Linked DNA regions of Coturnix japonica. The protein of the gene in region 3 purifies or fractionates together with the protein of the main gene of each other region. This does not show direct contact. Links are inferred from orthologs where the notes say so. Each region holds a gene or a part of one and is shown on either strand. Other genes may lie near its edges.

Region 1 (5,498 bases), on a different chromosome or scaffold from region 3:
TATGGCTAAGAGGCAGATTTTCTCTTTTTTCCAAAGAGAATAAAGAAAACACAGCTTGTTAATTCCTCCAGCCTCTCATGTTGTACCAACCCACCCCAGAACAGCACTAAGAACATCCTCTTCCCAGTAAAACAAGCACATACTGTTCCGTGTTCTCAATGGAATTCCATCTAAAGAATAACAACACTCCAAATCAGAACAAATACACCCGTGGAAAAGGACATAAGCAGCAAGTCGTACAGTCGAAGACATGAGATGTACACCACAAAAAGCTTCAGGAACACTTGAAAGGAGCATCTACAGCCATACAGAGCTCTAACAGCGTTGAAACAAGTTATAACAGTGTTGCTACACTTGCTAGGGTTCGTTGATGAATAGACATGGACCTGCCCTGCAGTTTTTGTTCTGATAACAGGAAGAGCTGTGTCTCTGAACCAGGAGATAAGGAAGTTTTACTGAGTCTTTATACCAAGGAAATAGAAGATGCTGCTTGGAATCAGCCACTGAACACATAATTCTGGGAAACTTGTGTATGTAACACATCTCTTAGAAATCTCCTCATGTAATGCATATTAACTAAGGATCTTCTGCCAGCATGCAAGCTGTGCTGATAGGGGGATTACCCCCATGCATTCAGCACTGCTATTAAAGAACTGCCTTCTAACACTCCAACTTGAGGTTTTCCTGATCAACTGCCTTACAGTAGCAATGTCTCAATGCTACTTTCCAGCTGAACTTGATGCATCCTTTCTCACACCTTCCCACTGTAATCAATGGCAAGGCTATGAACCAGCATTTCAGGGAATACCATCATATATTTTCCAAGCAGCTTATTAGATCACTTGGATCTCCCCTGACAAGTCAGCTCACTGGCACATTCAGACTGAAAGCAAACAGGGCCCGGTGCTTACCTCCAGTATAGAGGAAGGAGCTGGACAGCCCCCCGAAGTAAATCAGGGCCAGGTGCTCCAGCTTCAGCGTTGAGACAACATAGAGCCCAGCAGCGCAGACACAGCCCACGGTGTACAGGAACACCCCGAACCGCACCACGTCCTGAGGTTCCAAGATCTGGTCCACCAACGTCCTGTCATCGCTCTTCTTGTGATCGATGCCTTTGGAGAAGTCGTAATACGTGTTCACCAGGTTACCGGCCCCGTGCACGGCCAGTACGACCACGGCGCTGCCCACCAGCAGGCGCGGGTCCAACGCTCCCTGTGCCCTGTAGGCCAACGCGCTGCCCAGAGCCACGGGGGTGAGGGAAGCGCTGAAGCTCCATGGCCGCAGTGCCAGCACATAGGCCGCGCACTTCTGCCTCCAGCCGCCGGCGGGGCCGCGCTCAGCCCCCGGCCCGCACTCGTTCCTCTCGGCGTTAATGCTGATCTTCTGCACCAGCTCGGCCGGCCCCATGCTCTCACAGCTCCCTGCAAGGACAAGGGCCAGGAGTCAGGGCCCGGAGTGTCGGTCGGGCCGCACCGCCGCCATGGCCGGGCCTGAGGTAGAACCCGAACGGCAACGGGCACCAACGCAACAACGCACCGCCCCCCCCGGCACTCAGCCCCGAGCCGAGGGTTCCGCTCCGTGCGGCACAACGGCGACACGTAGCGCCACATCGGGCTGCGATGGAAGCACTAAGTGCTGCCCTGCGGCGCCTCCCATCCCCGCTGTAGGTGCCGTAGTGTTTGATGAGAGCTCAGAGCTCAGAGCTGAGAGCTCAGAGCCGCCCCGCCCGCCCTCAGCCCCACACGGCCCCATTTCGGGCACACACCGGGCGTTGGCGCACGCGTACAACAACACGCTCGGCCTCTCGGGGAGCAGCCGGCTGCGGGCGGGCCTAGAGCTGCTCAGCAGCTGAACCAACACAGCACAACACAGCACAGCACAGCACAGCTCAGCACAGCACAGCACAGCTCAGCACAACTCGTTATCGCCCCATCGCGCCGCCATCGCTCTCAGTCACCGCCTGGCAGCGCCCCGCCGGCCGCTCTGGTGGCTCCTCAGCGGGGGAGGCGGGGCTAGGAGCGCCCCTTCCCTTTTCTCCTATTCCTATTGGCTGGATGCAGTACCTATCAAACATTCTCTAGCAGCCTATTGGTCCATAGCGTCTCGCCGGTCCGGTAGGCGCGGGGGAGGCTGCCGGGGCCCGGAGCGGGGGAGCTGGCGGTGGAGGTGAGTGTCGTTCGGGAGCCTCCCTTCATCCATCCTCCCTTCACCCTCCATCCCTTCACTCCTCGCTCCCTGCTCGGTTCCGCCATCACGGCCCTCCCTCCTCGCAGGCCGGCGCCTCAGCCTTCCCTCGTTCCCGGCTCTTGGAGCTCGGGCCTGTCGCCTCCCTCATTGGTGACGGGGCTCCTCACAGGGTCCCCTCGTCCTGAGAAGCCCGAGGTCACCTCGCATTGTGTTCTTCATAGGGTTTGTGGCTGTGTGGGGATATAGGGGGGAAAAAAATAGAAGCTTTGGTGCGTGGTGGTGCTGTGGGCCCTCCTGTCAAGTGGGCAGCTTGGGTTTATGTGATTTGATGCTTTGAAACCTTTAAAATGTTCTTTATCAACCCCCCCCACCCCCCCTTCCCCCTCAAAAAATAACCATCAACAAGATCAGGCCCCACTTGTGGGGGACTTCTGATGTGTGTTACAATAGCAAACATCCCACTGCAGTGACTGCTGTTGCTATAAGTGGCCATCTCGTCTCTAAATACCTCCTGAGGAATGTAATGCTTGCCAGGCACCGAGTGTTCATAGAACATGGGGATTTCTGTGGAGAAACTTGGTTAAAAATGCTCACAGAGGAATCAGATGCCATCATGGCACCGGTGGGAAGGACTCTGCCTTGTTATGGGGTGACTGTAAAACTTTGTCTTATTGTGGTGCCTCTTTGGCTGTGGTGTGTCTTGCAGCCTGGTGCATCTGGGCTACCAGAGTGTGTTTTGGTGCTGGAGGAAGCAGGGAGGAAGTGGGCTGTGGGAGATGTTATGGTGTGATGTGGTTTTATCATGAGGCTGTAGTGCCTTGGGGAAGGTAATGGTTGGCTGTATTGTTTGTACTGTCTGGCACAGCATCCTTGCATGCAATGGGATATATGTTAGAAAAAGGCTGTAGGGGCAGAGTTAAGAAGCTCAGAGATTTCAGTAACTGAAAGTACTAAAAATCCCGTGTCTCTGAAGAACTTACAGGACTTGATGCCCCAAGCCCCGGCATAACAGCACCATGTCAGGCACTGTGTCTATTCTCCAACAATTTGCCAATGGCTTGAAGAGTCGCAGTGAAGAAACAAGGGCAAAAGCTGCCAAGGACCTGCAGCATTATGTCACCATGGAGCTCCGTGAAGTGAGTGCTGCAAAAAACGAATGATCTGTCTATCAAATGAGCATAGGGCACTGGCTGGGTACTCTGGGGATGGGTGTTTTTGGAACATAGAAACTGTTATTAGTGAGGAGGTGGGGCATAACATGGAGCTTACCTTTGTCCAAGCATGTAGGAGAGGTGAGGTGAGCAATGGATGGTCAAGCACCAGGATAAATAAACTCAACAGGTCAAGGGCATAAAGAAGAGAAACTGTTTATAATGTGTGGTTGATTTAATTTCTTTCTATTAGTGTAGCCTAAGGAGCATTGTCTCTATGGAGGTTTTGGAAATAGCAAGAGAAGGGAGAATGCTGAAGGCCTATATGAATCTTTTCCTGTTACAGATGAGCCAGGAGGAGTCCACCAGGTTTTATGATCAGCTGAACCATCACATTTTTGAACTGGTCTCTAGCTCTGATGCAAATGAAAGGAAGGGTGGCATTTTGGCTATAGGTGAGTAAAAGTGTTTTATGCCTTTGAGTTTTCTCTTCAGGTACTTGATCAATTGGGACAGATTTTCCAAACGAATGAACTTGTGCAGTCAGAGCCTTATGTCCAACTGCTCAGTACGCTGGGTGTGTGCTTGCTGCTGGGCTCAGAAATTCTGCCTGTTAGTGTCAGCGTGGGAGCTGCTGAGTGCTGAGAGTGGCTGAAAACCTGGTGCTTAATGGGCAGTGAGCTCTTCTGGGAGTCAAACATCAAACATGAGTGAGTGCTGAGCACATGAAAATTCTGTTCCTGAGCTCAACAGAACAATCTGTGCTCTCTGATATAGTGGTTGGCAGCCCTGCTCATCCAGGGGAGAGACTCATGTAGCTTTTGCCTTAATTCTGATCAGGTGCTCCATCAGTTGCTCTGGTTGTGCTTTCTGTGATGTGGCAGAGCTGCCTGTATTTTAATTGTTAAGAAAATCAGCTTGTATAAATACTTTGCTTTCTGGATGAGTAGCTTGTATTGTAGCAATTACTTCTCTAACTACCAAATAGGGGTTGCCTATGGGTTACCTTCACAGACATAATCATCCAATCCCAACAAGTCTGGAGACAGCGGAAGCCTCATAGCTAGAGAAATTGTTCTTGACAACATCTGATTTTTAAGCTGACAGTATTGCTTTAAAATTGTGTCTGTGACTTTAGTGCTGTTGAAAGGTACTGGCTTGGATAGGGGATACTAATTCCAAATTAGGGATTAGCTGCTGTCTGCTCCACTGATCCTTAGGGAGAACCTACAGCACTTCTCCTTTTCTCTACAGCCAGCCTCATTGGTGTTGAAGGAGGTAACGCCACCCGTATTGGCAGGTTTGCAAACTATCTGAGGAACCTTTTGCCATCCAATGACCCAGTTGTAATGGAAATGGCCTCCAAGGCTATCGGACGGCTTGCAATGGCTGGTGACACCTTCACAGCTGAGTATGTGGAGTTTGAGGTGAAACGTGCTCTGGAATGGCTGGGGGCTGACAGGAATGAAGGTCGAAGACACGCAGCTGTAAGTGATTCTTATTTATTTATTTTTTTGTTTTCACCTGTCTTGGAGTGGGATGGTTTGGTTTAATAGTGATAGGAGAGGTTCTCAGAAAGCTGGGAAAAGCTGTGCAAGTGTAAGGATCTGTGATGCTCTTGTAACAGATTCAGTGTTTCCTTACCTCTACCTTATGAATTCCTTGTGACTAAACAAGGTTGAAGACGCCCTTATGCTGTGATCCGTAAATGTGGACAGAACTGGTTACAGCTCAGGCTCCTGGGCACTAACAGTTTAAATAAAGGATGCTGCATTCTAGGTATTGAGGTTTGTGTATGGGTGCTCATTTTCACAGATTTACTGTTTCTTTCCCCACCTCCAGGTTCTTGTACTGCGTGAGTTGGCAATCAGTGTGCCTACCTTCTTCTTTCAACAAGTACAGCCGTTCTTTGACAATATTTTTGTGGCTGTGTGGGATCCCAAACAGGCCATTCGAGAAGGAGCTGTTTCTGCCTTAAGAGCCTGCCTTATCCTCACCACTCAGCGGGAACCAAAAGAAATGCAGAAACCTCAGTGGTACAGAGTAAGAAAATCACTTTATTTTGGAACAGCTGTTTTAGAAGAGTTAAGCTTTGTCTGAAGTTCAGCTTTGCTGCTGTTGTCACTTGGGTTAAGGCTTCCTAGTATCAATCACAATTTG
Region 2 (5,288 bases), on a different chromosome or scaffold from region 3:
CTTTCACCCCCAGGACCCTGATGAACGCGCACTGCCAGCTGCTCACCTGAATGGAGACACCCGTGCCCTGCCTGGGACCTGGAGCTCCCTCTCCATCTCCTCTCGGCTGGAGCCCAGGTGGAAAGCCAGAAGGTCTATCCGATTGATCCGGTAGAGCAGCTCCTTCAAGAAGAACAGATCCCCTGCTTCGATCATCCCTTTCTCCTGTAATGCTTGGAAGAAGGCCTTGGGTTCCTCAATATCTTCCTGCTTTCTTACAGTGACGTGCTCCAGGCTGAGAAACTTCAGAGACGCCAGATCATTCCTGTCCAGCGCCTCGCTGATCACGTAGAGCAGCTGGGAGAACTCCATCTCCCCGCAGCAGCTCCAGCCCTGAGCTGGGATGGGCACCACTTCCTTGTGCACCCGCGCTTCCGTGCTTCCGCCCACTTCGTCCGGCGAGGCAGCGCCCAGGCTCCTGGGAGCTGTAGTTCTGTCTGGATTCCTGGCTTAAAAAAAACGCAGTTCAACTCAGAAACTGCTTGTCTGCCAGAGAGGAGCTTTCTGACACAGCTGAGGCCGTTTCCGTTCACTGTTACAGAGCACTGCTTAAAAAAAAAAAAAAAAAAATAGAGGCTGAAGAAGTAGAAAATCCCGCTGTACGCTTGGCACGGCTGGGGGGAGCACAGGGGCCGGCCAGCGCTCACCAGCGCCCACCTCCCATACTCTATCTCCCTCCACAGGCGTCACTGCTGTCCAAATGCTGAGCTTCTTTCTTCAGCCTGGGCGACCCTGTACTTCATATTTCCTTTTCTTTTCTTACCGTGAAATACCAATACATCTCTCTTTACTGTTTAAAAAACAAAACAAAACAAAAACAAACAAACAAACAAAAGCCAATGGCAGATGGGTGCTCTTTTTCCAGTGGAGAGATTTCTCATATCACTTCAAACACGCATGCTACTGACAGGAAAAAGTGAATTTTATATACATGGCTGGTTTTGTATTACATGCAAAACAGCATTCTGAGCTGTTTTACATAAACACTGCCCCCTCCTTTTTTGTATTCTTCCCTTTTTGCTTCATAAAATTCATACACCCACTCAGAAAAAACAGAAAGCGGAAACGTGGGGGAAGCAAAAGGAAGAGCTTTGCCACTGAGCTGAAGTACTTCAGAAGAAACACACAGAGACACGTGAAAATCAGTTGCCAGAGTGGCACTTCAGTGGTTAAGCATAGCAAATAAGAGGTCCTCAGAGTTCTCCAATAAGAGTTTGAGCTCAAATCACATCATTATCTTCACATGCATTCCAAGGATATTTCTGGCATGAAAAGGATTCGTAAGAAAACTGAACTTATCTGTGCAGGTTAGGAGCTCTCCCACTGCCTGGGCATTTGCGGCAGTCACACCTCCACAGTCCAAGGGCACTAACAATTCATCGTCATTTCAATACTGACAAAGAATCTCAGAACACCATTTCCTCCTCGCAAGCTGCCCCCTTGCTGCTGACAGGAAGCGCAGCACACTCAGTCCAGGTATTTGACCCTGTTCCCTAATAATGGGCACGAGCCACTGAACCAACTCCCTTCCCAGCCCTTGGGATTTGCTGGAGGCTTTCAGCAGCAGGAGCGAGCCCACAGGAAGTGACATGATGGGGTGAGACCTTGGGATGGTGCATCACCTCTGTTCTAAATTCTAACACACAGATAGTATTTCATAACAACAGGAGGAAGGAGGGAGGTTGGAGTTTCATGGTTCTAAAACTGAACGTTAACACCTTGACAGGAGAGCTGCACTCAGCACTGATTTTAAAACAGAACCTCTTCCTACCACTTCTCTCTTTCAAAAAAAATTATAAATTAAAAAAATGTAGACAGTAATCTGAGGGTGTGCTTCCTCCCACCTCCAGCCTCCTCCTTTGGCCTGGCTGTTACACCCAAGACTGTGTTCAGGGCTGATAACACAGTTCTGCTACATACTATGACTCTGCCAATCATCTTACCCTATAAATAATGAACAGACCCAGAGCTCTTGAGGTCTAATCCTCATAACAAGGCTGCACATACCCTCCCCAGTTCTTTCTGAATATTGTGAGTCTTGAGCAACTGTAGTCACAAGATCGATTATGTGGAGTAATTACTGGAAGTCAGTTACTGGGACATTCCCCTCTCAAAAGCAGAAAAGCATTGTAGACACCTCCAAGATGGATTGCAGTAAATATGCAGTGTATTCCATGACAGTTCCTTAAGCACAGGGATGGGAACTTGGAGGAATTTTTGGGAAAGATACCATCGCGGACAATTTGGGAGGACACTGCTGACTTCCAGAACCAGTCAATGGGCTGAGCCTCTCTTCCCACCCCCACCAGGACAAATATGGGGTGAGATTTGCACACTCAGTTACATCAAGTGCTCCCCTGGGAAACAAAGAAACTCTATAGAGGTGTTCAATAGCTCAGAGATGTGTTATTCCCATTATTGGTACTGAAAAGAATCTGTCAAATTGGATATTTACCCTTTAACGCAGCAGTTAATATTTACATTATTGTCATAAAAGTCACCAGTGTTCAAAGCTGTAAGGAAGATATTTGGTTACTGCCTGCATATAGATGAGGTCAAAGGTGGAAGGTGTGTGAATGCAGTGAGACTTTTAGCAGCTTATGTGTTTACATCTCCTCATGTGCAGTTAAAACAAACTCCTAGTAAGCAGACTGCAGGAGGCATGGATTGTTCTGTTTGCACTGACATGTCTGGACAGAGCAGCCTTAGCACAAAGTGGCTACAGGAGCAACTGATGTAAAAGACCCAGGCCAAGCTCCAAAGATATGTGCAGAATAATTTTGTATCGAGCTAGGAACGTGTTACCGTTGAGAACTGCAAAAGTACAGCCACGTTATGTGACTGGGGAATTCCCATGGTTGTCAAATATAGAACAAGCACAGCAGTGAGCAAAGGCACGGCTTCAGAAAGGAAACACAAATGAGTACTTGGGAATTCCCAAAGATCTCAACTATATTTTAGTACACTGTACAGAAACCACCATAAACTAAACATGTCCTCTGTAAGTTTACACCTCTTTATCAGAAAAAGGTTCATTTGAATAATTTCAGAGAACATGTGCCCATGTAAGTTAGGGGTCAAAATAAAAAGGATGGCCATCAAGGACTCAACAATGAAAACTTCCTGAGAACATTCTAGCTCTGGACTCCTTGCTGCACAACTGGATCTTCAAAAGGATGTGGAGTTTGTTTCCACTTCCCATGAGTTTCCAGGGTTTCCTGTATGAGATGTTGTAGACAACAGACCTACCCAACAGTTAAATGTAAATGAGTAAGTAAATAAATTAAAAATCCACTGCAATCAAACCTTTCAGAACTTTAAAAACTTTGAAAAGAGTGAACCCTTACAGAGGTAATGGAAAGGCACATACTTACAGCAGCCCATGCAGAGAGAAAGCAGCAGTGAGCAGGCAGGCTCCTAATACGTGCCGATATCCCACCCCGGCATCAGCAGATTACCAGGTTACCCTAAAAACTGAATGATAAACTTCCCAGGGGAGGCTGGCATCAACATCTCTGGGAAACTGACGTTCAACTGAACAAATAGGAAAAGACGATGCAAATCAAAGGGCAGACATTCGTGCCTCTGAATGAACACTGTTTCCGTCTAAGCAGATAATGGCCCTCCCTCCGTCTTCTCAGCACTTTCTTTCCCAAACAGCGTCGCGTTGATTGGCTGCTTTCTAGCTCACCTCTGCAGGACTTAACTCAGCCTCGCCTTCCTGCCAAGCCTGTGATTCACTGCCTGCTGGTAATGCTTCCACTGGCTGAAAACATAACAGACGTAAGTGCCAGCATTGTTTGAGTGCAAAGTTCTGCCTTCCAGACATGAGCTGAAGAAAAGGGAAGGCAGGGTGAATAATTATAGCTGACTAACTATAGCCTTCTGAATGGAGAGGCAATTGCCCCTCTGCTTTCTCCGGCTTATGCTGCAGAGAAGAAACAGGAAATTGTACAGCCGTCAAGTATCCTTCCTAGCTCTCAGCTCTGGTAGAGGGCATCAAATTTGGTCGGAAACATCACAGCCACTCAGCCTTGGGGTGTGTGTGTTTATTTTGCTCAGAACCACAAAAAATGAAAGTGTATTTTCTCCTTCACTGAGCCACATTATCAGCGCACAGTATGGCTTCTTCCTGAAACTACTTGCAAGTGCAAGGGCTTCTCCAAAAGTCATGTCTCATATTTTATGATATTATGTTTATTATTACTATATTAAAAAGACCCAAGTAACACCAAACAAGTAAATTTTATATTAGACATTAAATTCTGCTCATGTGGAGTATACAAAAGAAGTTAGTCTGAAAGGACAGAACTCTGACATGGAGACATAGAAAGAAACAAATGCTGTAGATTCACCACTTCACTAATACCAGTAATGTTTTCTTTTAATTCTACTGGAGCAGCTGCCAACTTCCATCAAGCTTCTCCTAGAGGAAGCAGCAATTTCATTTAAACTATATTTCCATAAATTTAAAAAAACAACATACAAAATATAACAACTCCATTATAGCAAGGTCTTACTTATGAAAATTCTATAAAAATGTGAATGTTTCCTCAACAGTTAACCAAACATCAGCTATAAAAATGCAGCAAAACCCGTAACACCTTCTGCTAACATCTGCCATAAACAGCACTCTCGCTTATATAGTGCTCATAACATCTATTTATTACTTATGAAGCCCATATGAACAGAGCTGTGATTCTAAGAACAGACATTCTCTCTTTTACTTGGAAAGGGAAAATGGCAAGCAGAGCAACTGTCAGCATACTGTGAGGAATTAGGAGTAAAGAAGCCTCACTTCAGGAAGATAAACAGGACTGAATAAAGAACCCCTGCATTACAGATTGACACAGGTCTCAAAAAAAGTCTGGATTAAAAAAAAGCAGAAGTTATTTTAAAAGTTCTTTAAAAAGCATAAATTATAAAGTGTTTCACATTGATCCTTTGTCTTGTTATAAAGATCAAAAGGGATGTAGCCATTAGAATTCCAGATGGCTCCCAGATACTACATACGCATTGCTAAAGATACAAGGTGAGAACAGCTTCACTGGCATCAGCTCCCATTATCAAGAATGTCCTAACTTTTAAGTTTACTCTTATGTACTCTTTACTCTTAAGTTTCCTACCGTCTCTCCAACTGCTAATGAAAGAATATCAACAAGTCACCCCTCCCTCAGGATGTCTGCCATAGAATACTTCAGCAAAAATAACTTCTTCAGACGAAGCAAAGGAGGTCTGTTGTGCCGACT
Region 3 (5,318 bases):
TATAACCAGCACCAACCCTCAAGAGAAAGGGCCACCAGTATTTGGTGCCCGAGGCACGTGGAGGAATGGCTGTCAGGCCCTAAGGAAAGGCAGAACCTCACAGACCCTGTTAGGTAGCAGAGCACCAGGGAGCTGGCTGTGTGCAGAACTGAGCCTGCTGCAAGCAAGGTCAGCTTGGTGAAACTCCACAAGGGTGCTACCATCTGGCCCGGTTATACAAGGGAATAAATCCCTGCTGCTCAAAGCATCCCAAGCCTCCACCTGCCTAGAGTTAAGGGCTGACCACTGCTTCTAATAGGAGAACTGACACATGGAAAGTCAGGCCTGTGGAACAGCAATGGACAGACAGAAGTTACTGATGTTATGAAAATACCCAGGAAGTTTTCAGGCCACTCATCATGCCATCGGATGGGGATTGCTACAGACTCCAGACAGCATGCTACGCGGAGAGAATTTTAGCTTACGCAACTAAGATAAAAGGGCAGATCTGTATTACCCACTTTAAAATGAGTTCAAAGACCTGCTCACAACTTACCATTAGTTTTCAAAGGCACGAGTCTCCTGACCTCCATACACCAGTTCAGTTTCCTGTGGCGCTCCAGTGAAGTCTGGGTGGCTTGGTCAGTCAGGGCTTTCTGAAGCGTTTCCCGGAATTGAGGGCAAAACTGGCACATTCTGAACATTTCTATAGTGTATCTGTGCATAGTCCTGAAGTGGTGAATTATTCCACTGGGGGGTTTGACCAGATCTTCAGGTGTCCTCTCTCTAATCTTCACAGCTTTCAGCATATTGCTCTGATACAAAGCCTGAGGAAGGATGTGCTGGCCAGCCATGTTCCTAGACAAAAATCTGAAATGAAAAAGAAAAGTGTTCTCTTACTGACTTGTTAATTGCCCTTGCTCTGCAAGGTTTGCACAGACTGAGAATACACTTCCATGTGTGGAATTCTAGTTGCTGTTTTGCCTGTTAGTACACAGAGCGAATGACATCCACTGAGACTTATACCAGTTCTTATTGTTAACATTTACCTCTGTCAGCCTCTCTGCATTACACAGAGATAACTACTGAAGAGCTTATTCCACCCATTTATTGTGATCATTCATTGAACTCCTGAAGAGAGTTCATTCTTCACTAAGACGATTACATCATTGTACAAAAAAAAGGCACTTAAATGAAAGCAAGGAAAGAAAAAGGCAAGATCAAGGGAAGGGAAAACTATCTTGGAAACTTGACTAATTGATAATTGCACACTGTAACCACCATATGAACCTGCTGAACTTTCAGCACATTCCAAACTCTTGTTTTGATGACATGCCAAAAAAACAGATAATGTCCATTTCAGATTTCCACAGCTCATGCATTCTGATAAGTGATGCTGGTATGATATAAAAAGAGCCTGGATATCACACAGTGTGCTAGATTCTGTCCCATACTTACATTGGCTGGAGATGGTAAAAGAGGTATTAGTGGCAGATCAAGCACTCAGGGCCAGACCTGTGCTACTCTTCTTGCGGCTCCTTCTGTTTTGTGAGCAGAATAGCACTGCAGAGGTGCTCGTGCAATGTGTGGGGGAACAAGCTGCGGTGCCACTATTACTCAGCGGTAAGTCAACATCGCTGAAAAAGCATTTCCACTTGGCTCAAAAGCCCCAATATTTTTCCATAGTGGGACAAGCAGCATTTACTGCCCTGCATCCCTTTCTTCCATACCTCTGGCCTGATGGGCTACAGCAGGAAGAACAACAACAAAAAGCCAACCAACCCCATAACCTCGAAGTATCTGTAGTCTGAAATACTCATTCTGAGCACACTAACTCTGTGTCTCGCTGCAGCCAGATGCAGGGACCACATTCACACATCCCTCCTGTGCACTGCAGTAACACCATGAGCTATTATTTTTAGATGGAGAGACTACGTGCTGTCCATGTAGACTGCTGCTCTGCTCACACAACCAGATTTCTATCAAGCGAAATGAAGGTCTGCATACCTAACATTTAGAATCCAGTTGGTCACAGCAGGAGTGAGGATTACAAATTTAGGGACAAATACTAAGTCATACGTATAAATCAAGACCTTGATACATGCCATGCCAAGTATAGGGCGACCAGAAACAAGAGAAAGCTTCCTAACAGCTGCTTCTCATCTATCCCTAACCAATATACTTTCACACACGCCACTCACATAAACCATCCATATATTTAAATATGGGATTGAGGAATGACATATAAACATATTAACCTCTTTAATAACCACGTCTCTGCTTTGCTCGGAGACGGCCAGAGTACTGAATTCCTAAGTTACGTAAGTAGAGTCATTGAGTCAATGAGGTTTTTTTACCCAAATAAAGGCTTATCAGATGATTAATCACTACTGGCACGGACCCTTGAAGTGGTTATTTCCAGCTTTAGGTAACAAAAAGTACTGAGTCTACAGAAGCATTCACTGGAACCGTAAATTCAATGTTCTGTTCTATTCTACGGGCACATTTTCCCCTCCAAAAGTGGAAACTACTGTCTGTGGCAGTTACCTCAAACATCAATCAAGGCAACATCAGAGCAACCCTGACTATGAGAAACAAAGCAATGAAGCAGCTCAGCAGCCACAGAAGCTGACAACTCAAAGCACATTAAGGCTGTACTTGCTAACACCACACTGTGCTTCATTGCATGGCCACCCTACATGGCCTTTAAACATGTAATTACTGAGCTCCCAGGAAAAGAAAAAAGTTGCAAACAGTGCAGCACATAGTTCCCCAGCACATAATATGGAAGATGCTGGTCTTGGGGAACCCTGTGTTCCGTTCTCCAGCTCTGTCCCCTAACCGAAGAAGCCAATGGTAAACCCCTGCCGGCCGAGCACTGCAACGAGCCTAAAAGCCTCCTGCAGCCTCCAGCCTCCGTCCCTCGGAGGTGCGGGTGGCAGCAGCCCCAGCCAGGCCTCGCAGCCGGCCGCCCCCCGCTCTACCTGCAACCCCGGCCCACCGCCAGTCAACAGAGGGCACAATTCCACCGCTCGCCGCGGGACTGCTAACAAAACCTCCACAATACAGTCGGGCAGCCTCTCTCCCAGCCCGAGCATTGCTCACCTCTCGCCCGGCGGGCTCCTCCAGGCGCGGGCTCGATCCGCCGCTAAATGCCGCTCAGCAGCTGGGCCGCGGCGGGGGCACACAGTCAGGCTCGACCGCCATCAACACCCAGCCGGCAGCAGGCCCGGGTTGACCTGGCCGCTCTCGCGTCCGCCGCCCCCTCCCCTCTCCGGAGCTGCTGCCGCCGCTGCCTGCGCTGCGGAATGAAGGGCTGAGCTCAGCCTCTTGTTTTCTTTCCCCTTTCTGTTTCAGCGCATGGACAGGAAAAAAAAAAAAAAAAAAAAAAGACAACAACAAAAAAAAACCCCAGCGGGGATTTCCACCGTCAGCGCTTGGGACTTTCCGACATGTGACAACAGCAGCGCAGGCATCGCTGGCTCCACGTAGGGCCGGCAGGGGGCACCGAAGCGCTCCCTCCGCTTACAACCTCCCTGGGCAGCCTGTTCCAGGGCCTAACCACTCTCCTAGTAAAGAACTTCCCCCTAACATCCAACCTAAATCTTCCCTCTTTTAACTTAAAACCATTTCCCTGTGTCTGCTACTGTCAGCCCTTTCAAAGAGTTTACTCCCCTCCTGGGAGTAAGTTCCCTTCAGGTATTGAAAGGCTGCAATGAGGTCACCCCACAACCTTCTCTTCTCCAGGCTAAACAAACCCTCAGCCTGTAACAGGTAACAGGTAACCTGTAACAGGTTCTCATCCAGCCCTGCTCAAGGCAGGCAAGGGGCAGAACAGGCTGAGGCTATGGAGGACTTCATCCTGGAGCCACTGGCCAGTTGTGGCATCTCATACCTTTAATGGCTGCGGGCATGTAATTCGCACCTTTAAATAGCACCCTAAAGCCTGTGCAATGGAAAAAGTCTGAATAAAGCACTTAGGGCCTCTTAATAAAGCATACAGATGTGATCTCAATTGCAAATGGGCAGCTCCTTGCCTGCAAGACTTGTAACCTGAAGGCAGGCAGAAATATAATACAAAAAAGTCTTTTTTCAGTCCTAAGAGGCTTTCTCCAGATGCTGAACGCCTGCCAATTCCAGAGCACCCACAGGTCCCACTGGTTGGATGAGAAGCTGGAGTTGCCCCACACCTTAAAATCAGGCCTGTCACAGAACAGGCGGACCTGGAAAGAGCTCATACCTGAGCTTCCTTGCCTCCATTAGCATCAGCTGGCTCAGCTCGTGCCCTCATGGCATCTGTGCAACTCTGTGATGGCATGCTCCTTCTCACTGCTTAAAGCCCTGTGTTTGGCTCTGTGTGGTCCGCTGCCCTTCTATCTCTGCCTAGGAATACATAGGAAGGCTCTGCGCTTACGGATAGTCTGAGGGCTGACTGATATCCAAGGAGGCTGCGTGCCGGAGGAACTGGGTCTGAGTGATTACTTACATAACTGGGGCTGCACCCGGGGTGTGGTTTACCCAGTGGATATTGTCTGCAACAGAGAAGTCCGTTTAAAAAAGAACCTGCTATTCCCTGTTCCTGGTTGTTTTTCTTTGTAACCCTGATGTGTGCTGAGGTACTGGGATACTGAAGTGATCTGATTAGAAGCCAGCTATATATATGTATTTATGTATGTATGCATACGCACGCACATGTATATATAACTTAACCAAGCCATTTTCCCCCAGTGATTCGATGAGAGGTCACTCATTCAGTTTTACAGAGAGCATTTAAAGTGATGGTCAGTTTCACCATGGAGTGGGAATAAGCAGTTAGGGTAAGAAATGTAAAACGAGCTGATTTATATGTTACTTCGTGTGTAAAACTGCAGCAAATAGATTAATAAGTGGTTCTAGACCCTTCTGTGGTTTGCTTGTTTTTTGGTTTTGTTTGTTTTTGAGAGGTGTTGTTGTTATAACAACAAGCATAATAAAAGGAAAATAAGTGTGAGTAAAACGTTCTGCAGGCAATAGCTGTGAGCCTATGAGGGAAATACCTATGAGCCTATGAGGAAAAACTGAAAGGACAACAGATTTTTTGTTATTCTAAGCTCTGAACATATTCAATTACTGTCTACACCTTGATAAACTAGATGCTGATTGCACGTAGCTAAGACTGATGTTTATCATGCAGGTCTGAGCAGGATAGTAGGAATTCATTTGATGAGTTAGCACAGCACAAAATGAAGCTCAGTCCTATCAACCAGATCTCCCAGGTTATATAGCAATACACATAACAACATCAGCTTCATCAATGGTTATTGGATAATGCATGAATATACATTCCTCTTTTCAGATTT
Region 4 (4,774 bases), on a different chromosome or scaffold from region 3:
TGAGGGCTGAGTTCTGGAGCTGTGGGATGTCAGAACTGTTCGTCTCACCTCTGACCTCCCCGAAGGGATAATCCGTGCATGCTGGTGCAATTATTAAAAGCAACAAACAAACAAAAGCCCCGATAACGCAATGCTGATATGCGGCGTGCAGGGATCTTAAAATAATCTTTATCCAGGGATTAAGAGTTTCTGATCTACCACTGACCTGCTTTCACAGAATTACAAATTCATTACACTTGCAGGAACAAGATGGAAATGCAGTAAAACAAATAGCAGCAGTTTTACAGCAACGTAAGTAACCAGGGTGAGCTGCATTGATGAGAAAACCTCCAACAAAAAACGGTGCTTAACAAAACCTTTTTCTAGGCAGAACCCCAAGTGTGCCTGGGAATCCATGTGCAGAAACTGTGTCTGGGCTTCCAGCAAGGTGTGAAAGCATTTATTTTCACTAGAAATAAAAAATGCCGACCTCTGGGTGCCCTGTGTGATTGCTCTCCTCGCTCCCTCAGTGGAGAATTGAGGATTGACATGTAGACACAGACCCCGCTGTCCAGCTGGAGTCTGAATTGGTGCTGCTCCCACAGGGCCAGGGAGAGGAGAGAGGGATGTGAGAGGAGCCAGGGAGAGCCGTGCTGCCCCTGTGCTGTGATGGGGCACACACTGCTCCTGTGTGCCACTGGGGGCAGGGATAACTGATGAGTGCCAGTGAGCGGCTTTTATTTTGCTGGCTGACACTTTTATGGCAGTTTGATTGTTTGGTTTGGCCATATAGATATATGTATATATACATACATATGTAAAAATTTGTATGGAAGAATAGTTAGCGTGAAGTTTCATCTTAGTTTGAAACGCCTGGCGTCTATATCCAACGATAAAGAACACAGACATTGGCTGAAAGCTCAGTATTTTGTAATTCTGGCTGCAGAAACATTTTCCATGGTAGATAAAAGTGAGCCAGAAGAGCAATAAATCTGCACTCATCAGGACAGTAATAATTACATGGGTCACCTGATTTTTTTTAATGTATGTTTGTGCCATGGGGTTGTAGCTACAAGTGCTGTTGGAGCGAAGCCTCAGAGCCCCAAAACCACCCTGCAGGGTGCAGGGCCTTGCGGTGCCTGGGCTGATGGACACAGAGAGACATGCAGAGGGGCCATGAGCCCATGGGGGCTTCTGTGCCTCCAATGGGGAGTGGGCAGCTTTGGGATGGTCACTGCGGGTGCTCCCCATGGTCTGAGCCCTGCAATGTGTGTGCCCATGTTCTTCCATTTCACTGGCCTGGTTCCACGCAGCGGGCTCTGGCTCGGGCAGGGCAGGCTTTTAATAGCAATTGGAGGAGAGATTAAAGTGCCATCAGACAGTGTGTCAGGGATCAGGGATGGAACAGCCACTCGTTTTTATTTACAGTAACGCGATTTATGTGTTGTCACAGCAGCCTGGCAGACATCACCCCCTGGTTTTTCATGTTCCCATGCAGAGAGGCAGCACCATTCTCAGCCACTGCAACATCCAATGTGGTCCAGCACAGTGTCCTGTGTCCCCTCCTCTAATGGGGGACAAGGCACGGGGCAGCGGCTCTATTACAAGCAGGACCTGACATGGGGGGGGGGAGCTGCCATGCTGGGATGGCAGTGTGCTGTGGTATGTGGAGGGGATGGAGTGCACCGCTGGCCCTAAAATAACAGGGAGTTCTCAGGGGAATGGCCTCTAGGGGTTGGTAGGAGCAGGTGCTGGTATGCAGCTGGGAAAAGGGAGGGGTTTTGGCCTTGTTTGACCTTCAGTGCTCACAGTTGTGCTTACTGTCCCAAACCCACCTGAAAAGCTGTCAGCTCGGGGCTTGTGACTGAGGGATCGTCCCAAGAGCTGTCTGAAATGCCAGGGGTTTGGCTTGCAGCAGGATCTCATTTAACTGCAGTTTCTTACGCAGTGATGCTGTGCTCAGCTGTGTTGCTGTGCTCAGTTTGCTGTTCTGCGGTGGAGCCGTCCGCTGGCAGTCCCACGTCCTGCTACTTTCAGGCATTTTGAGTTCCTCGATCATTTTTCTTCCTCCAGTTCCTGCATTTCTTTATGTTTCTGTAACCCCTTGCTGTCAGGGCTTTACCAAATGAGCTGTATTGCTGTATTAAACACCTGCACCCTTCCCTGGCTCAGGCAAGCAGCACACTCCTTTCCTATGAGAAATAAAGGAGCACTGATGCCATCTCCTACTGGTATAATCCACAGAAGTACAGCAACGCCATGAAACTACAAAGGCAGGGGCAGCTTGTGGTGCTTGCAACACCAGATCAGAACAGGGCCCTGCCCTGGCTGAGAGGTGCGGCGTTAGGGAGGGGAGCGATGCTTTATCTCCCCAGCACGCAGGTCAGAGCCACGCCATGGGTGCTGCTGTATGACAGGTCACCCCCAGCTGCTGGCTGTCCCTGTCCCAGCAGTGCACAGAGAAATCTGTCAGGTCATGGGAACCGTTAAAAGGCAGCTGTGCTAGAAGGGAACTGTGACTTTGTGAAATAGAGCCTGAGCCCTAAGGAAATTAACCACACTTACTGAACACCAGCAGTGCTAGCCCAAAGCGTGGCTGAGGTGTCACTCACAAACCCATCCTGTATGTAATTTTAGCCACGAATTTGCAAATGAGGAGTGGGAAATCATCAAAATATTTGTAGGACTGAGAGAAGAAAAGTTAAATACATTGCCTGCGCGGTCCTAGGAAATACTAGGAAAGCCTTGGTTTAATTTTTTAATAGAAATATTTTAATTTTAGGAGCAAGTCCCCGTTCCTGTGTATCACCCAACCCCTAGCCAGACCCGGCTGGCAACGCAGCTGACAGAGGAAGAGCAGATCCGAATAGCGCAAAGGATAGGCCTTATCCAGCACCTACCGAAGGGAGTCTACGATCCTGGAAGAGACGGCTCTGAGAAGAAGATCAGAGAGTAAGTTCCACAGAGCTGCTGTGCACGTCCACTGGTCTGTGCTGTTCTCATGGGAAACCTCATCTGGTCTTTCTGTTTTTGCCTTACTTTCAGGGAGTGTAATTTGATGCAGCTTTCTTCCATGCAGAAGCCTCTTTGTTTTATCCTTCTTCACTTTTCTGCTATTTTCCCTCATGTGTGTAATTTATGCCCTTTTCTTCCTCCCTTTATGGGAAAATAATTCCATGCTTCTGCTTCTTCATCTTCATGGCTCCCATCTCCTGTTTCCAGTTCTGTGCAGGCTGCTGTGCTGTCCCATCCCTGGCTGCAGGCTTCCTGCTAATGCTGTGGTCAGGGGCTCCCAGTATGAAGAAAACACCAAGAAATCCAGTGCTGGGTGGAGCCAGCACTGATGTAACAAAGAAATCTTGCCATATCTGTCAGTAATAACAGCAGTTTGCATGATAGTCATATCTGACAGATACATTGCTTTTCATTTCCAGTGTGCTGCCATCACTGTAACTATGTCTTGTTTCCCCAGGTGCGTTATTTGTATGATGGACTTTGTGTATGGGGACCCTATCCGATTTCTGCCATGCATGCACATCTACCACCTGGACTGTATAGATGACTGGTTGATGAGATCCTTTACCTGTCCATCCTGCATGGAGCCAGTGGATGCAGCACTGCTTTCATCATACGAGACTAACTGAGCCAGGGTTTCTCCGTGAACCTTCAAGGAGACCATCCACGTCAATGGGTTTGATCCTTTTGTCATTCAGCCCAAAGAGCCAGAAATTAGGAATTAAGGTCATGCACAAAACATACATTTCCTAATGAATAAAAAATACTCCTGAATGGCTGCAAATATTGGGAAAAAAAAAAAAAAGCATAGTATTTTAGAGACTATAGAAAAAGTAGGTTGTTATTTTTAATGTAAAGCCTTGACCCAGCGTTGTCTTTAATGTTTGTTCTTACACCCGTATATAGGAATTGTAAAGTGTTACAGCAACTGTAAATGTTTAAACTGCGTGTATCCAATTTTATTAGCAGTAAGATAAGAGTATTTTTTTTTTCCTAAATAAAGTAACTTTTTTTTTTCCTGATTCTTTTCACAAGTCCTGGCATTTGGGTCAAGGCTTTATTAAAATCTACATTTTATAACACTGGCACAAAGAAATAGTTTTAAGCTTGTTTGCACAGTTCTTTTTTTTTCTTCCTTTCTTTTTTCTTTTTCCCTCCACTGGAGATGGAATTCATTGCCTTAGGTCTTTTTAATAGTGTAATGTTATTGTTGGGCTGGCTCTATGCTTGAAAACCAGTTTATTTATAACCTGTTACAAGTGCTATATTTTGTTTGCAGTTAGGAATATGCAGACTTCAAAGTGATCTCCTAGCTTGTAAGCAAACTGAGATGCATTATCCCTTTTCTGCAAGTGATGGTGGATATAAAGATACGGAATGGGTCCTGCAACTGAGAGTATGATACCATGGCTGTTAGAACTCACTTCAGTTTGCACTAAACAAATCTTTACATGTGGATGTCTACCTGAACTTGACCAAGGTAAAAGTGGGCCAAGATGGACAGTAAATAAGCAGTGAAGCTGCCATAATTGGAAACAAAGAAATTGGAACTAAAATAGCGTTAGCAGCAATTACTTATTTTATCTTTTTTCTCCCTAAAAAATGGTTGCCTTGAATTGCAGCAGACGGATACTGCATCTCTTGTTCTTGTAGTTCTTAGGTTTCAGAAGTTAAGAATAAACATACTGTATCTCAGTCTCCTGTATTACATGTATCTGTTAAGCCCTGCTGGCTGACACATCAGTCCACCATGCAGATAAGAAATCTTACCAAGCAAAGA

What was found.
Region 1: the proteins of TNFAIP3 (region 3) and MTOR purify together in Homo sapiens (affinity purification with western blotting, with the first as the bait; 3 studies listed by BioGRID). This does not show direct contact. The link is inferred for Coturnix japonica from reciprocal best matches to the Homo sapiens genes TNFAIP3 and MTOR.
Region 2: the proteins of TNFAIP3 (region 3) and caspase-8-like purify together in Homo sapiens (affinity purification with western blotting; 3 studies listed by BioGRID and IntAct, with this or other methods). This does not show direct contact. The link is inferred for Coturnix japonica from reciprocal best matches to the Homo sapiens genes TNFAIP3 and CASP8.
Region 4: the proteins of TNFAIP3 (region 3) and RNF11 purify together in Homo sapiens (affinity purification with western blotting; 3 studies listed by BioGRID and IntAct, with this or other methods). This does not show direct contact. The link is inferred for Coturnix japonica from reciprocal best matches to the Homo sapiens genes TNFAIP3 and RNF11.

Annotation. Positions count from the first base shown.
Region 1 is NC_029536.1:3,615,869-3,621,366, reverse strand, and holds the start of MTOR (serine/threonine-protein kinase mTOR), read left to right. Parts: upstream 1-2,050; 5' UTR 2,051-2,166; intron 2,167-3,160; 5' UTR 3,161-3,203; coding exon 3,204-3,323; intron 3,324-3,684; coding exon 3,685-3,793; intron 3,794-4,592; coding exon 4,593-4,825; intron 4,826-5,180; coding exon 5,181-5,381; intron 5,382-5,498. Other genes in the region: UBIAD1 (ubiA prenyltransferase domain-containing protein 1), read right to left, coding at 912-1,407. UniProt on the Homo sapiens protein: Serine/threonine protein kinase which is a central regulator of cellular metabolism, growth and survival in response to hormones, growth factors, nutrients, energy and stress signals.
Region 2 is NC_029522.1:9,932,214-9,937,501, reverse strand, and holds the start of caspase-8-like, read right to left. Parts: upstream 3,687-5,288; 5' UTR 3,424-3,686; coding exon 3,414-3,423; intron 3,360-3,413; exon of another isoform or gene 697-3,359; intron 585-696; exon of another isoform or gene 489-584; coding exon 47-488; intron 1-46. UniProt on the Homo sapiens protein: Thiol protease that plays a key role in programmed cell death by acting as a molecular switch for apoptosis, necroptosis and pyroptosis, and is required to prevent tissue damage during embryonic development and adulthood.
Region 3 is NC_029518.1:49,374,206-49,379,523, forward strand, and holds the start of TNFAIP3 (tumor necrosis factor alpha-induced protein 3), read right to left. Parts: upstream 3,460-5,318; 5' UTR 3,085-3,459; intron 850-3,084; 5' UTR 834-849; coding exon 536-833; intron 1-535. UniProt on the Homo sapiens protein: Ubiquitin-editing enzyme that contains both ubiquitin ligase and deubiquitinase activities.
Region 4 is NC_029523.1:21,429,026-21,433,799, forward strand, and holds part of RNF11 (RING finger protein 11), read left to right. Parts: intron 1-2,761; coding exon 2,762-2,931; intron 2,932-3,451; coding exon 3,452-3,623; 3' UTR 3,624-4,774. UniProt on the Homo sapiens protein: Essential component of a ubiquitin-editing protein complex, comprising also TNFAIP3, ITCH and TAX1BP1, that ensures the transient nature of inflammatory signaling pathways. Promotes the association of TNFAIP3 to RIPK1 after TNF stimulation.